Nothobranchius furzeri: one gene and its partner. The protein of the gene in region 2 binds, or shares a complex with, the protein of the main gene of each other region. Links are inferred from orthologs where the notes say so. Each region holds a gene or a part of one and is shown on either strand. Other genes may lie near its edges.

The links.
Region 1: the proteins of mfsd1 (region 2) and glmp are in contact, whole or in part, in a cryo-EM structure (PDB 8R8Q), measured with the Mus musculus proteins. The link is inferred for Nothobranchius furzeri from reciprocal best matches to the Homo sapiens genes MFSD1 and GLMP. Residues at the interface, in NP_080089.1 of Mus musculus: Val288, Glu292, Lys293, Arg295, Phe349, Phe351, Leu411, Asp412, Lys414, Gly415, Tyr416, Leu417, Leu418, Val421, Ile424, Ser428, Leu432, Val435, Leu439; in NP_064387.1 of Mus musculus: Glu250, Asn252, Ser253, Ile254, Asp255, Asp256, Glu257, Pro260, Ala261, Phe263, Gln264, Arg292, Phe364, Leu367, Val368, Ile371, Met372, Ala375, Ala378, Leu381, Met382, Gly385, Phe389.

Annotation. Positions count from the first base shown.
Region 1 is NC_091759.1:9,421,070-9,429,094, reverse strand, and holds glmp (glycosylated lysosomal membrane protein), read left to right. Parts: upstream 1-3,481; 5' UTR 3,482-3,535; coding exon 3,536-3,637; intron 3,638-4,317; coding exon 4,318-4,482; intron 4,483-5,804; coding exon 5,805-5,903; intron 5,904-5,981; coding exon 5,982-6,146; intron 6,147-6,231; coding exon 6,232-6,450; intron 6,451-6,541; coding exon 6,542-6,810; intron 6,811-6,888; coding exon 6,889-7,063; 3' UTR 7,064-7,689; downstream 7,690-8,025. UniProt on the Homo sapiens protein: Required to protect lysosomal transporter MFSD1 from lysosomal proteolysis and for MFSD1 lysosomal localization.
Region 2 is NC_091753.1:52,075,986-52,083,972, forward strand, and holds the start of mfsd1 (lysosomal dipeptide transporter MFSD1), read left to right. Parts: upstream 1-3,763; 5' UTR 3,764-3,923; coding exon 3,924-4,092; intron 4,093-4,241; coding exon 4,242-4,294; intron 4,295-4,456; coding exon 4,457-4,569; intron 4,570-4,644; coding exon 4,645-4,687; intron 4,688-4,764; coding exon 4,765-4,832; intron 4,833-7,987. UniProt on the Homo sapiens protein: Lysosomal dipeptide uniporter that selectively exports lysine, arginine or histidine-containing dipeptides with a net positive charge from the lysosome lumen into the cytosol.

The sequences.
Region 1 (8,025 bases), on a different chromosome or scaffold from region 2:
AAGCTTGACTCGTTCCTCTGATTTCATTAATTCATATTTTTGTCTGACCACGCAATGTTGCAGAGACGTGTCAACCACGACAGCCCTACAACATCCATAGCCTTGAGATACCCAGGACGAATCTCATCTGCCCATGGGGCTCCGCCGCTGTGTAGTTGTTTGACGACCTCAGCAACTTCTGCCCCCGAGATTGGACAGTCCATCCCCAGGTCTCCCGGCTCTGGTTCCTCCTCGGAATGTGCATAGGTGGTATTGAGGAGCTCCTCAAAGTATTCCTTCCACCGTCCGACTATAGCCCCAGTTGACGTCAGCAGCTCCCCATCCCCACTGTAAACAGTGTGAGCGAGTTGCTGCCTTCCTCTCCTGAGGCGCCGGACAGTTTGCCAGAACCTCTTTGGAGCCAATCGATAACCTTTCTCCATGGCCTCACCAAACTTCTCCCACGCCCGAGATTTTGCCTCGGCAACTGCCACTGCTGCACCCCGCTTAGCTATCCGGTACCTGTCTGCTGCCTCCGGAGACCCACAGACCAGCCACACCCTGTAGGCCTCCTTCTTCAGCCTGACGGCTCCCCGAACCTCTGGTGTCCACCAGCGGGTACGGGGGTTGCCACCACGACTGGCACCGGCCACCTTGCGACCACAGCTAGCAACAGCCGCCTCAACAATCGCAGAATGGAACAAGGCCCATTCAGAGTCAATGTCCCCCACTGCTCTCGGGACGCGGTCAAAGCTCTGCCGGAGGGGGGAGTTGAAGACCGTCTTGACAGGTTCTTCTGCCAGGCGTTCCCAGCAGACCCTCACTATGCGTTTGGGTCTGCCAGGTCTACGTGGCATCTTCCCCTGCCATCTGATCCAACTCACCACCAGGTGGTGATCAGTTGACAGCTCTGCTCTCTTCACTCGGGTGTCCAAAACATACGGCCGCAGGTCCGATGATACGACTACAAAGTCTATCATCGACCTGCAACCTAGGCTGCCCTGGTACCAAGTGTACCGATGGGCATCCTTATGTTCGAACATGGTGTTTGTTATGGCCAAACTGCGGCTTGCACAGAAGTCCAATAACGAAACACCACTCGAGTTCAGATCAGGCTCCCAAGTTCCTCCCAATCACACCCCTCCAGGTCATGCTGTCATTGCCCACGTGAGCATTGAAGTCCCCCAGCAGGACAATGGAGTCCCCTGATGGAGCACTATCTAGCACTCGTCCCAGGGACTCCAAAAAGGGTGGGTACTCTGAACTGATATTTGGCCCATAAGCACAAACAACAGTCAGGACTCGTTCCCCGACCCGAAGGCGCAGGGAGCTACCCTCTCGCCCCCCGGGGTAAACCCCAACACACAGTGGTCATCGGGGGCAGTTCCTGTGGCAGACCGGGGAGGTGGTCCCCATCTTTAAGAAGGGTGACCTGAGGGCGTGTTCCAACTATAGGGGGATCGCACTCCTCAGCCTCCCTGGAAAGGTCTACTCCAAGGTTCTGGAGAGGAAGGCCCGATCGATAGTTGAATCTCAGATTGAGGAGGAGCAATGTGGTTTTCGTCCTGGCCATGGAACTGTGGACCAGCTCTATACCCTTGCAAGGGTGATGGAGGGGGCATGGGAGTTTGCCCACCCAATCCACATGTGTTTTGTGGATTTGGAGAAGGCTTATGACTGTGTCCCCAGGGGCACCCTGTGGGGGACGCTCCAGGAGTATGGGGTGGGTGGCTTTCTGTTAAGGGCCATTCAGTCCCTTTACCAGAGGAGCGTGAGTTTGGTCCGCAGAGCCGGTAGTAAGTCGGACCTGTTCCCGCTGAGGGTTGGACTCCGCCAGGGCTGCCCTTTGTCACCGGTTCTGTTCATTACCTATATGGACAAAATTTCTAGGCACAGCCGTGGTGTGGAGTGTGTCGAGTTTGGTGGCAGGAGAATCTCGTCTCTGCTTTTTGTGGATGATGTAGTCCTTCTAGCTTCATCCAGCTCTGACCTTCAGCTCTTGGTGGGTAGGTTTGCGGCCGAGTGTGAAGCGGCTGGGATGAGGATCAGCACCTCCAAATCTGAGACCATGGTTCTCGACCGGAAAAGGGTGGCTTGCCAACTCCGGGTTGGGAGAGAGGTCCTACCTCAAGTGGAGGACTTTTAAGTATCTTGGGGTCTTGTTCACGAGTGAGGGTAGGAGGAATCGGGAGATCGACAGGCGGATTGGTTCGGCGTCTGCAGTGATGCGGACGCTGAGCCAATCTGTCATGGTGAAGAAGGAGCTGAGCCAGAAAGCCAGGCCCTCGATTTACCGATCGATCTAAGTCCCAATCCTCACCTATGGTAATGAGCTCTGGGTAATGACCGAAAGAACGAGATCGCAGATACAAGCGGCCGAAATGTTTCCTCCGTAGGGTGGTCGGGCTCAGCCTTAGAGATAGGGTGAGGAGCTCGGACATTCGGGAGGGACTCAGAGTAGAAACGCTGCTCCTCCGGATCGAAAGGAGTCAGTTGAGGTGGTTTGGGCATCTGGTCAGGATGCCTCCTGGACGCCTCCCTGGGGAGGTGTTTCGGGCATGTCCTGCCGGCAGGAGGCCCCCGGGTCGACCCAGGACACGTTGGAGAGGTTACATCTCCAATCTGGTCCGGGAATGCCTTGGGGTCCTGCTGGTGGAGGTGGCTGGGGAGAGGACGGTCTGGAGCTCCCTAGTTGGGATGCTCCCCCCGCGACCAGGACCCGTATAAGCGGAGGAAGACGACGATTATATTTTTGTCTCTTTGTTGAAATGGCTTTTGAATCAAAGTCCTCTCAGTTATTGTGATTATTTATGGCCAGAATTTATTTGAAGTGTTCCAGAGTCTAAACAAAAATCCAGATGTGTGCACATGAGAACAGAAAAGTTTTACTGAAGTTAGTTGTTAATCGATTGAGCAGTTAGAAGTTTCTGTGTGATTTTGTTCACATTTAAGATTCCACATTAAAGTGATTTGGCTCAGTTAAACTTTAAACAAATACAAAACATTTAATGTGCCTTATAAAACATTAGGATTCAAGTAAATGGCTATAAAGGTGTGTAAAATACTAAACATTTTCAGTATTAATGGTACAAAATGTAGAAAAAGTTGGTTTGTTTTCAGCACTTATTTTATTTTACCAACTGCCAGATAATGCTGGGTGTTTTGGCATCAATAGAGCTCCGGACCCCACGTGACTCTCAGTTAGTGGACGCCATTTTGGCATGCAAAAAAGGTAAACAAACAAATCCAAACAGTAAATATATTGAATTTCATCACTAAAATAATATAAAACAAATCTATCTGAAGGCTTTTGTTTTGAATTGCTGGTTATAATTAACAGTATTTCATTGGTTCAATGAAGAAGTCAGTCCTGAATAATATATTTATATTTTTAGGGGTTAATGTTCAAAAATCAAGACTTTCTTGGCTTATTGACTAAAATGATGATTAGACGTTTTATTGGCTGTTAAGTCACAAGGGGCGGGGCCTCAGTGTGGTCACCTGACATGAAGGAGGGAGGTCATGTGACCCACTGCACAGCTCGGTCACAACAGAGATGGCGGCCACGGGGAGGTTACTAATTAGTACGATTTTACTTGTTTTTACTTTTCGTTCATGTCTAAGTTTGTTTTACGGAGGAAATACTTACAAAAGAAAGGTAAGGAAATAGAAGTGACAGCAACGTGGTTTAAATTTAGACTTTAAAGGTCGAAAAGTATCGGAGGAAAATACAGGAAGTGATAGTGTTGATTAGAGATATGAAAGTCTTTATTTTTTGTTTATATGCTATATTAATCCGCTTATCCACGTTTCTTAATTCTATTATTTTAATGGTAAAATGCAGCTTGAAGAAAATATTTGAATGAAAAACAAACCCAAACCAGGTCAGTCATCGTTTTGTTTTGTTTCTATTTATTTTTTGGGAAATTTACTTTTTATTGCAATCTTAAGCTTTTCACATGGCCATCTGAAGCTGTTTCTTAACTGACCAGATTTTGGTCTATCATTAATATTAAAAATGACTTTTATTGCTAATAATCAGGTTGATTAATGGCAATATTATTGAAATGTGAAATGTCCATTTTTAAGTCAGTCTTTAATCCTGTTACTGCTCCATGGCTTACCCCTAACCTAAGCAACAAATGTAGCCCTTTGTCTTCAGGAAAAATTCTGTTTGCAGCAGTCATGTGAGTTGTGATAACTGAATCAGTTAAAAATCAATAGTCTTATCAGAAATGTGAATTCTGCGAAAGGACTTTCAGCTGATCAATCAGATAGTAAGCTGTTGCAGATTTTGATCAGTCCTGATTTGCAAATCTTTGTATTTTCGTATTTCAGCTGTTTGTGCAGCTGAACCCAAACTCAAGCTCTCTTCCTCGCGGTGGTGAACTGCTGCATGTGAGAGCTGTAGGACAAAACGACACGCTGCACTACCTGTTCTGCAGTCAAGGGGCACCAACACTGCTGCTCGTCCATACTAACAGTTCTTCTTCCACTGTCAAGGTTTGGCACATCGTCCGATTATGTAAATATAAATAAATATATTAATGTGCAATATACATCTTGTGTAAAACTGAGGAGAAGGTATACGTTGAAGATGGAAAAACTGGTCGTCCCACTATGACTGGTTGCATTATAAGTTTTAAGCCCTACCTCCTCCATATAAATAAATGGGACAATTTCCTGAGTAAAACATTAATGCACCACCAGATAATTGTATTGTTGAGTCACACAGTTGTTGCTGCTTGACTTATCGGCTGCAGTTGACACTGTCAATCATGGCTTCCTTTGCTCCATACTCTCTAGCATGGGTGTCACAGGGAAAGCACACTCCTGATTTGAATCGTACCGCACAGAACGACCATTCTGTATCTTGGTTCGGACAATCTTCTGCTCTTCACCATCTTTCCATAGGAGTTCCCCAGGGCTGTGTACTAGATCATCGAAGGATTGTTGACTAGCAGTGCCTACACCACGCTCAGGACAATCCAGACTCTTTTCATGTGTGTTTCCACAGATGTGGAATGACCTACCAGAACAGGGGCTTCCTTGTCGATTTTCAAGAAACTCCTGAAGACCCAGCTCTTCAGAGAGCATCTTCTAAACTAGCACCCTACCTGCACCGTCCCCCACTCTATTGTCTACTCCCTGTTCACTTCCCTTTATCATTTATTATGCTGCCTCACTGCCACCTACGATTGACTGACTAATGTTTGTTGTTAGCTTCAAGGTCAACGTGCTGGCTTCATTTTCTCTTGTAAGTTGCTTTGGAAAAAAGTGTTTGCTAAATATGTAAACATAGTTATCAGCTTGTTGCTGTATGTTCAGATTAAAATTATTCTAATAAACTTATTTGATCTTTTAAAAAAACTCATCATGATTTGTGTAGGGGAGGGGTAGGCAAGAAAACTCTAGGGCCATTCCCATCTGTACTGGGTCGGCCCGGGCCGGGTAGCCCCAGTCGACCCCAGCCTGGCCCGGTTGATTCCACACATCCTTGTCTTAAGCCCATGTGGGCTGATTCTACCCACCAATCAGAGGCTTGCTCTAATGGAAGGTGTGAGTTTGCTGTCAGCAGTGGGTGTGTTGGCCCTGGTCGGCCTGAAGCAGACCCCCTCGAGAAGAGGGCTGAGAATGAGCCTTGGTTGGCCCGGAAAAATACCAGGCCACCCAGATATGTAAACAACCTACGCTACCCGGCCCGGGCCGACCCAATACAGATGGGAATGGCCCATTAGTCCCAGTCTGGATTAGTATTCATTTTCATTTGATTTTTTGCAGACCAAGTATGATTTCTATCTAAATGTTTGGGTTTTGTGTTTCAGGTAAACTGGTCCCAGTTTTCGAGTCGTAATACCAGCGGCAGCCTAACGGTGGAGCCAGAGAGCAGCATCTTGTACAGCTCTGCTGTCGTCTTCAGTCGGGTCAGAAACATTAGCCAGTCTGTCCAAAGGAAAAACCCTGATGTGTGTTTATTGGATAACCCTGTTGTTGTTTTTTAGCTGTGGGAGTATGATGACGTAAACAACACCGCTGAGGCATCCTCAGACCTTCTCCCTCCGCACGAGCTGCAGGACTTCAGCTGGTCTCTTTTCAACCTGTCTGGTGCAACATCTCTGCTCTGTGGAGCCCCCTCGGACTCCACCAATGGGTCGCTCTGCCTGCAGGTTTGTCGCTATGGTGACAAAAGTCTGATTTTGAATACTAAAGAAAAAGATCATAATAAAATGTTTGACATTTTATCTTTTTCAGTTGTCTGTGTTTGACTCGGAGGGGCGTAACAAGTTATGGCCTCGCCTCCTACATTCTGCTAACTCCTCCCAGGTGGAGGTGTGGCTTAATGGCATATTGCCGAGATCAAATGCCTCCAGGTTTGTGTTGGAACTGCAGGCAGTGAGTGGGACCTATCCGCTAAGCAGAGTGGACACTCGCCAGTCCATCGATGACGAGTACACGCCGTCGATATTCAAGGTGATTATCAACGCCTTCATATGCTTTTGATTTGCCCTCCTCGGATGTCACCATGTCTTATTTGTGTTGTTTTTGTTCTTTCCTCTCTCAGATGTTCCAGTGGGTATCCTCAATAAACGGAAGCTCAGACATTCTGGGTTTTGTCCAGTGGAAGCCTGTGGCGTACAGGAAGTCCCATCCGGTGCTGGAGGACGCCACGCCTTGCCGCCACTCTGACCCAGATTCACAAAACGGAGAGGAAACGGCAGCTTTATCTGCTCTGATTCGAGGCTTCTATTCAAATCCAGAAGTTATGGGAATGAACGTGAGCTTCGGCATGGCAGGAGAACCCTTCTACAACAGCACCATGTTCCTCAGCTGGTTTGTTCACGATCTAATCGGATGTTTAAAATCAGAACAGGTGAATAAAAAAACCTGAGTGTGTTTTTCCTCTTTCAGGACCATGCTGGTGGGCGTTGGCTCTCCTCCCGTTGACTCGTTCTCTCCCCTGGTTCTCGCCATCATGGCGGTGTGTTTGGGGGCTCCTGTGATCCTCCTGCTCCTGGGGGGAGTTTTTGTCTTCCTCTATAAAAGGAGGCACGCTACGGTGACGGCCTACGAGCGAATCAACTGACGGCTGAGACCCAGCCAATGAGATGCAGAGGCTGTTTTTAAAACTGAAACATTTTAGAGTCAGGATGGACGAGGGAAATCAGGACAGGCTTTATCTTGTCTTGTAAATCGTTTTATTTTAAATAACAGATCAATTATTTGAAGTAGAAAGTTTTTCTAAATATCAGCAAGACTGTTAAGAGCGAAATGGTGCACAATCAGGAGCATTTATTATAAAAAAAATTATTCTAGTTGTGTATTTTTGAGAAATTTGTAAAGATTCAATGGATTTTTGATCTTTTCAAACCTGTTTTCCATCATGTTTTGATTCAAACTAAACAGACATCTTGTCCCAGTTTATCTCTAAGGGAAAAACATCATTTGTTGTATATTTAATGTTTTACTCAGCGGCTGCTTGCTTGCTTAACAGACTGGTGGATTTTCAGGGCTGATATTCAGCTGATTAATCCGCATTAAACGAGTCTACGGCAACATCATTTGTACTAAATGACAAATTTATGGAGGTTTTCTGAGCCTTAACAGAAAAATACAATTAATGTCATCCGAGAGGATTTGTCCTGAGTGGGAGGTTACGTTTAGAGGTTCAAACTTGAAATGATTAAAATAAAATAAATTGTATTTTGTAAATTGTTGGTTAAAGCTTTTGTTCAATCTGTGTCAATGTTTTATTTTAAGAAAATGTGCAATGTGTTTTTTTAACTTGGGATAAAAAGAGAAATTTAGAATTTTTTGCTTTTTCTTATGATTAAACTCAAGTTTTTTTTATTGTATCTTTGTTAAACAAGGTGAGCATTGGCTGCAATGCAAGAGTTTTAACTAAAATCATGAGAAAGACATTTTGGTCAAATCACTAGAAAACTTAACATATTACTAAATCTAGCACTCAACAGGTGGACGACTCAGCAAAATGTTTCGCTTCAGTTTATTTTGTCAGAAACTTCACAGAGAAACAAAAATAAACCA
Region 2 (7,987 bases):
CTTTGTTTTATTTTAATACCCAGAGTTTTGCTTATTGTGTATTGTGTACTTATTAATAAACAAACAACCATATTCTTTTCAAAGAAGATTTATTGTGACACATTTTGTTTGTTTATAAATTACCATTTAGTCACAGCAAAGGACAACATTTAAACACAAAAGCAGCCTGCTGTAGCTAGCGCTAACCATGGCCATGAATGTATCGATGCCCTACTGCGCGCTGGAAAGTGTAGCAGTGTCTACAACATATTGGATGGGTCCCTCACTCTCCAAACCCAATTAGAGTCAATGCAGGGTGAGCAAGTATGCCCGTTTTGTGCAGCCAACGATTGCAACAACCAGTGCACTATTGATAACAGGTCACGTGGGATTACTGTGGGCTTTTCTAGCCTACCTGCTGGGATTTTACATTTGAATATGTTTTGTCTATTTTATATTCATATTTTAATCATCATGCCATTCCATATGTATGATGGTCTGAAAGGGCAGAGTAAAATGTGATTTTTAATTGGGTAAACACCTTTCTGAGTAGAAATGAATGCACTGCGGGCGAATGGAAACCCATCCAAGATGGCATATGGCCACAATGGTAGTTCCAATAGGCAGTGATGTCTGTGGTGCTAGCAACAAGCTAACAATAACATGAGCCAACAAATATGAAGTAAAAAGATCCGTACTGTTGGACAAAACATATTATTACTTACAAGTTCAGTAGCAACAAAGCCAGGTCATCATTAGTCTGTGATTTTGTAGCCTCCTTTAGCTCCCACAAGCTAGTGTAGGCCGTGTTGATGTTCATGCTGGTTTCAGCTCTTTGCTTCACCTCATTTACTTTCACTTCCTGGCCCCACCATGATGCCAACAGAAAAAGCAAACTTCTTCTTTTTCTTCTTCTTGTGCTTTTTATTGACAAACAGCGAACTGAAAAAGCTAACCGCTAGCATAACAGCTAACAGCTGTAAAGCAGGTAAAGAGCTCCTCCTATAGAGCACCTACTCACCCCACAAAGATGTTGATTGCAGTGTCTGGTCAGTGGAGGCTGCAGAGTGGTGTCAACTATAAAACTGGTCAGGCTTCTAACTCAACAATCACTGAGATCAATGTTAAAGCTCTAGTTTAAACATTAAAAAACTAGCAATACCTTAAAAAGGCCGTGATTGGGCTCTTTTTTTTTTTTTTTTTTGGCAACCAGAGATGTTTTGGAGGTAGTCCACTTCTGAAACCTCCTCACTTGTTTTGGTGTGTTATTCTAATCTTATCCACATCTGCTTTTACATCATGTAGCCATGTTCCCTTGACTCAGATCAGATGTGTGATAGTGCTTATGAAACCAAAGTTTACCACCCGACAAGGCTGTAGCGTGCAAGTAAAGCACCCTCCTGCTGCCATGTCTGGTTCAAACAGAGAAGAAAAAAAAGTAATTCTGAAATAAATTTGTTTTCTTGAACTGTGCAACAACCAAAAGATGGATGTGAGGACATTCACAAACTATGTCTGCAGGAATAATGTCACCTCCTGCATGATTTATAATAGAGTCGGCATGCGGGGTTGATTAATCTAATAATGAAACATGATATCTCTCCAGCCCACCCGCTGTCGGTCATGACAGAAGCTGATAATTGGCCAGGAAATTAATAAGCTACATTGCGATTGGAGCGGCATCTGCAGCCACTGGAAGGGTCGTTTGTCACCCCCAGATTAAATCCGCAGACAGATGAACCTGTAGCAGTGAATCATGGGGAATTTTAAATGACATTCATGGAACAACAAAACAATTGCCCCTCGGGGGTGATTAAAGTTTTTTTGAATTTGAATTTGAATTTGAATGGAAATTCAACAAACCCTGTAGACAGGCTGGGTGTTTGCTCAGACTCAGGTTGAGGCAAAGCGAGGATGATTTTTCAGGATGAGGGGTTCTTTTAAAGAGCAAGTCACCCCCAAATCAACTTTTTTTTGCTGATAAACTATATAAATGTGTGTCTAATTGTGCTGCAGACATGTGTCGTCAATAATTTGGTACTTCAGTGCATCTTAGTTAAAATTTAAATATTCTGCCTAAAACTGTCAGTGTTGTGCCGTCGTCAGGTAAAAACTCTGCACTGTATTTGAATTTAAATCTGCCACCGCTATTGGCTAAGAGGTATGCTATGATGTAAACAGTACATTATGATGTCACAATGTCGTTGTGAGCCTGTGTGTATATTTGTTAGCGGCTCCGCCGTCTCGGTCTGCTAGGCAACAGCATTTGTTGCATTTTTCAAATATGAAGAGGGAGTGAAGTAAGTTTCTTGTAGGGGGTGACTTGCTCTTTAAGCGACTGTGTGGTAGTTGAGTCAGACAGACGTGTTTAATTATAAGTAAAACCAATCAGGATTATTTCAAATGTTTAAGATCAAGATGCTCCAGAAGGTTGTCATCAGGGCAAAAGCTCCTTCTTTAACTTAGCAGGTAAGTGGTTCAAGCTTCGAATGAATGCAGGTTTAGAAGAATGGGAAATTACACAAAACAAACAAACAAACAAAAATAAATGGACAAAAGCTAAACGTTCTCAGTGTGAGTGGCACAAAAACAGAACTGAAGCTAAGGCTCAGGGTTATTATTTTCACATCTATTAGTTGCTAATTGTTTATAAACGTCATTTAAAAATAAAATCTGGTTTGGAAAGATTGCAATTGATCAATAAACATTATCATGATAAACTGATATTCTGAGATTGCTTTGGAACTACCTCCTTTAGTTGATAGTTGTTTTGTTTTCAGATTATTATTATTAATAGTTTTAATACAAATTATTTTCTACAGAAAAGGAGGTGCAATGATCCACTGTGTCCACTAGGAGGAAGAAGAATGTCCTTTAAAAATACAAAAATCTTCCACAATAATGACTGAACAAGAATGTTTATGAACTGAAACTGAGCATTTGAGGCTTGAGTTAAATTTTTCTTGCAATCTTCAAAAGGTTTTATTGGAAGTAATTCACTACTTATCTGACAGTGTCCACAAGACCTAGGTCCCTGTGTGTAATAATACACTTTTAATTACTGTATACAGTTTCTCACTCTGGAATTTGGCATTTCTGCTGATGTGTTGTGTCACTGGTGACCTGTCCAGGGCCACAGTGTCCCCTGCCTCTCGCCCCCTCTCGACATATCGTATATAAGTCGATGCTCTCGCCTGTTGACTGTTGGCATTGGGCGTCAGTTCTCTGTGACCCTAGAGAAGAAAGGGTAGTTTGGATTCCCAAATGTGGGGTTGGCACCCCCTGTGGGTCTCCAAGAGCTACACAGGTATGATGATTTCCAGGAATCAACATAAAATTGAAAAACACACACTAAAGATATATTTTTTAGCATAAGTATTACAAAAACTTTACCAAAATGTCATAAATAGATATAAATGAATATGAGCTGACGCACCCAGCATAATTTCGCTTTCTAATCACAGATGGTCAGATCAGAGATTATGGAGATTGCTTGACAATTGTCATTCAGTTATCGTCTTCTCAGAAAGCTGCAATAAATGTTTAGTTTTTTTTTTGAAAGACTAAAAACTTCACACAGACTTACAGCATAATAATACATGTTACCATCCCACAGGCATCTTTTCACCATTTTCATCAACAGTTCTAGTTTTCTATAATGCTGTTTTGACAGTAACTTTAATTGTTATCACACTTTACAGATGCAACTGTAATCACCTTAAAAGGAAATGACGCGCTTACTGTGGTAATCTCTCTAATATCAACTTTATTTAGCCAAAAACAACCTTCCAAAAAACGTTGTATTTTGCCTCGCGCGCGCGCCCGATTCACAAGTCTGCGCACGCAAACGTCACGTCACACTGTCACGTGACTGTTCCACTCGCTCATATGACCGATGGATTCTCTCCCCAGCAGCCGCTAACTTTGCCCAAAAAAAGGGGAACATGGCGGATTTCGAGGAGCGGCGGGGCCTGTTGGGAGACGAGGCCGAGGGCTCGTCTACCGGCCGGAAGGCGGACCGAGGACCCGGCCGGCCGCTGGCCGCCATATGCGACCCCAGCCACTTTCTGCACCGAGTCGTTGTTTTGGTTTTCATGTGCTTCCTGGGGTTCGGTGAGAAGCTGTTGTGGAGTTTTTTTTTTTTTAGTTTAAAGTTTTCAAGACTCCCAAATATTTAAAAAAAAAAAACGTTTTTACCCTAAACGCTCCTGTGCTGTATTATTGTTTAGGTTTATCGTTTGGTAACGTTTGTTTCGTTTCAGGAAGCTACTTCTGTTATGACAATCCAGCAGCGCTCCAGACTCAAGTAATCCAGGTAAATGTCACAAACTATTATAATTAATACCAGGCTGAAAAAGCTGACTAGTGGATTTCTGTCAGCCCCGACAACTGATTTAGGGAAACAGCAGCCGTCCAATCAGAAGTGTCAGTCTGTCTCCTGATCATTAACCCGAGTCCTTCCCCCTGACTCCCCCAGGATCTAAACCTGAACACGGCAAAGTTCATGCAGCTTTACGCCTGGTACTCCTGGCCAAATGTGGTCCTCTGCTTCTTTGGGGGTTTTCTGCTCGACAGGGTTTTTGGCATCAGGTAGAGCAACAACAAAGTGTCCTGCTTGTTTTGGCGACACTTTCACCTAAAACTGAATGTTTATTTCTTTTGCAGGCTGGGAACCATCATCTTCTCCCTCTTCGTCTGTGTTGGACAGGTTGGTTTATTCTCTAATCTGTTTTTGAAATACAGATTTATCATAAAAGTATTGACTTTTTCCCAATATCCACATAGGTAATATTTGCAGCTGGAGCTTGGACCAATCACTTCTGGCTGATGGAAGCTGGACGTTTTGTTTTTGGGTAAATTATGGAAAATGAATGGTCCATTTTTAAGCTCACTGAGTTAAGATCATCATATCTGCACATTTACAGCCCTTAGCTAAAAGTTAAGTTAGTCCTTCAATTAGGTGTCTGTCGATTCACCATTTAATCAATGCATTGTGATGGGACAGGCCGGTTCTAAATCGATTTCTAAATAGATGTTTGTCAAAGTCTGAAAAACAACAGCAAAGCCTGGCTGGAAAACTTAAAGTTACACGTGCTGCCATGACACTGGGTGGCGGGCCATTGGAAAAAAACATTACAGCAACAGCGGCGGCTTGTTGCTAAGCTCCAGCCACTGAGCGTGGGAGTCACTTGTCAGGATTAAAGAGAAGTTGTATAGAACTAAAATAAAAACAACAACACTAGTAACCTGCAGCAGCACGTTACATGTTCCCATCATGGTGTTGGATGAAGAGAAGCCGGCGGTTGTTCCTCCTAACCAGCCAACTATCGAAGGATTACCAAAACTTGCCTACAAGTCCAGCTTTTTTCACAAGACTATGGCGGCACTTTGCTGCAATGCTGAGGCCGCATCGGGGAGCCTTTGGTCGTTTATAAGTGGTCGGTCTGTAGCAGTAACGTGGTGAGATCACATGTTCACTAAAGATTACACAATGGTGGTATAAAGTGGGTGTGGGGCCCATGTCTGCACTGTCGTGAACTTCCTTTTAGCTTAAACATTTTTTTATGCCGATTGAAGCAATGCTCCTTAAGGGTTTATTTTTTCCCACTTGCCCTTCACAGTACTCGTGAACTGTGGTGATTTTCAGATGTAGAGGCCAGAAGATCTGCATGTCTCCGTTCTGTCTTGATTCTGTTTACAAAAGTCATTTTCATTACTCAGGTTTATCCTGTAGATTTCATGCAAACGTGTGTGTAGGGTACATGGATATGATAATGGAGTAAAAAGTATGTGGTAACTGGAGTTGATGTGTGCTGAATTAATCTAAAAGTATGAAAAAACTGATGTGAGAAACAAACCTCTACGGTGGAAAAAAAATGCACCATAAATGGTCGTCGTCGTCGTCATCTTCCTCCGCTTATCCGGGTCCGGGTCGCGGGGGCAGCATCCCAACTAGGGAGCTCCAGGCCGTCCTCTCCCCGGCCTTGTCCACCAGCTCCTCCGACAGGACCCCAAGGCGTTCCCGGACCAGATTGGAGATGTAACCTCTCCAACGTGTCCTGGGTCGACCCGGGGGCCTTCTGCCGGCAGGACATGCCCGAAACACCTCCCCGGGGAGGCGTCCAGGAGGCATCCTGACCAGATGCCCAATCCACCTCAACTGGCTCCTTTCGATCCGGAGGAGCAGCGGTTCTACTCCGAGTCCCTCCCGAATGTCCGAGCTCCTCACCCTATATCTAAGGCTGAGCCCGGCCACCCTACGGAGGAAACTCATTTCGGCCGCTTGTATCCGCGATCTCGTTCTTTCGGTCATTACCCAAAGCTCATGACCATAGGTGAGGATTGGGACGTAGATCGACCGGTAAATCGAGAGCCTGGCTTTCTGGCTCAGCTCCCTCTTCCCCACGACAGATCGGCTCAGCGTCCGCATCACTGCAGACGCCGAACCAATCCGCCTGTCGATCTCCCGATCCCTCCTACCCTCACTCGTGAACAAGACCCCGAGATACTTAAACTCCTCCACTTGAGGTAGGACCTCTCCCCCGACCCGGAGGTGGCAAGCCACCCTTTTCCGGTCGAGAACCATGGTCTCAGATTTGGAGGTGCTGATCCTCATCCCAGCCGCTTCACATTCGGCCGCGAACCTACCCAGCAAGAGCTGAAGGTCAGAGCTGGATGAAGCTAGGAGGACCACATCATCCGCAAATGCAGAGACGAGATTCTCCTGCCACCAAACTGGACACACTCCACACCACGGCTGCGTCTAGAAATTCTGTCCATAAAAGTGATGAACAGAACCGGTGACAAAGGGCAGCCCTGGCGGAGTCCAACCCTCACTGGGAACAGGTCCGACTTACTACCGGCTATGCGGACCAAACTCACGCTCCTCTGGTAAAGGGACTGAATGGCCCTTAACAGAAAGCCACCCACCCCATACTCCTGGAGCGTCCCCCACAGGGTGCCCCTGGGGACATGGTCATAAGCCTTCTCCAAATCCACAAAGCACATGTGGATTGGTTGGGCAAACTCCCATGCCCCCTCCATCACCCTTGCAAGGGTATAGAGCTGGTCCACAGTTCCACGGCCAGGACGAAAACCACATTGCTCCTCCTCTATCTGAGATTCAACTATCGATCGGACCCTCCTCTCCAGTACCTTGGAGTAGACCTTTCCAGGGAGGCTGAGGAGTGTGATCCCCCTATAGTTGGAACACACCCTCAGGTCACCCTTCTTAAAGATGGGGACCACCACCCCGGTCTGCCACTCCCTAGGAACTGCCCCCGATGACCACGCAATGTTGTAGAGACGTGTCAACCATGACAGCCCTACAACATCCATAGCCTTGAGATACCCAGGACGAACCTCATCCGCCCCCGGGGCTCCGCCGCTGTGTAGTTGTTTGACTACCTCAGCAACTTCTGCCCCCGAGATCGGACAGTCCATCCCCAGGCCTCCCCGCTCTGGTTCCTCCTCGGAATGCGCATTGGTGGGATTGAGGAGCTCCTCAAAGTATTCCTTCCACCGTCCGACTATAGCCTCAGTTGACGTCAGCAGCTCCCCATCCCCACTGTAAACAGTGTGAGCGAGTTGCTGCCTTCCTCTCCTGAGGCGTCGGACAGTTTGCCAGAACCTCTTTGGAGCCGATCGATAGTCTTTCTCCATGGCCTCACCAAACTCCTCCCACGCCCGAGATTTTGCCTCAAAAACCCCAACACACAGGCAGAGAGTCTCGGGGCTAACAAAAAGCCAACCCCAGCCCTCCGCCTCTCACCCGGAGCAACTCCAGCAAAGTAGAGTGTCCAACCCCTCTCCAGGTCTCGGGTTCCAGAGCCAATGCAATGTGTCGAGGTGAGTCCGACTATATCTAGCCGGTACCGCTCAACCTCTGCCACAAGCTCCGGCTCCTTCCCCGCCAGCGAGGTGACGTTCCATGTCCCAAAAACTAGTTTTCTTGTCCGGGGATTGGACCGCCAAGGCTCCCGCCTTGGTCTGCCACCCGATTCGCATT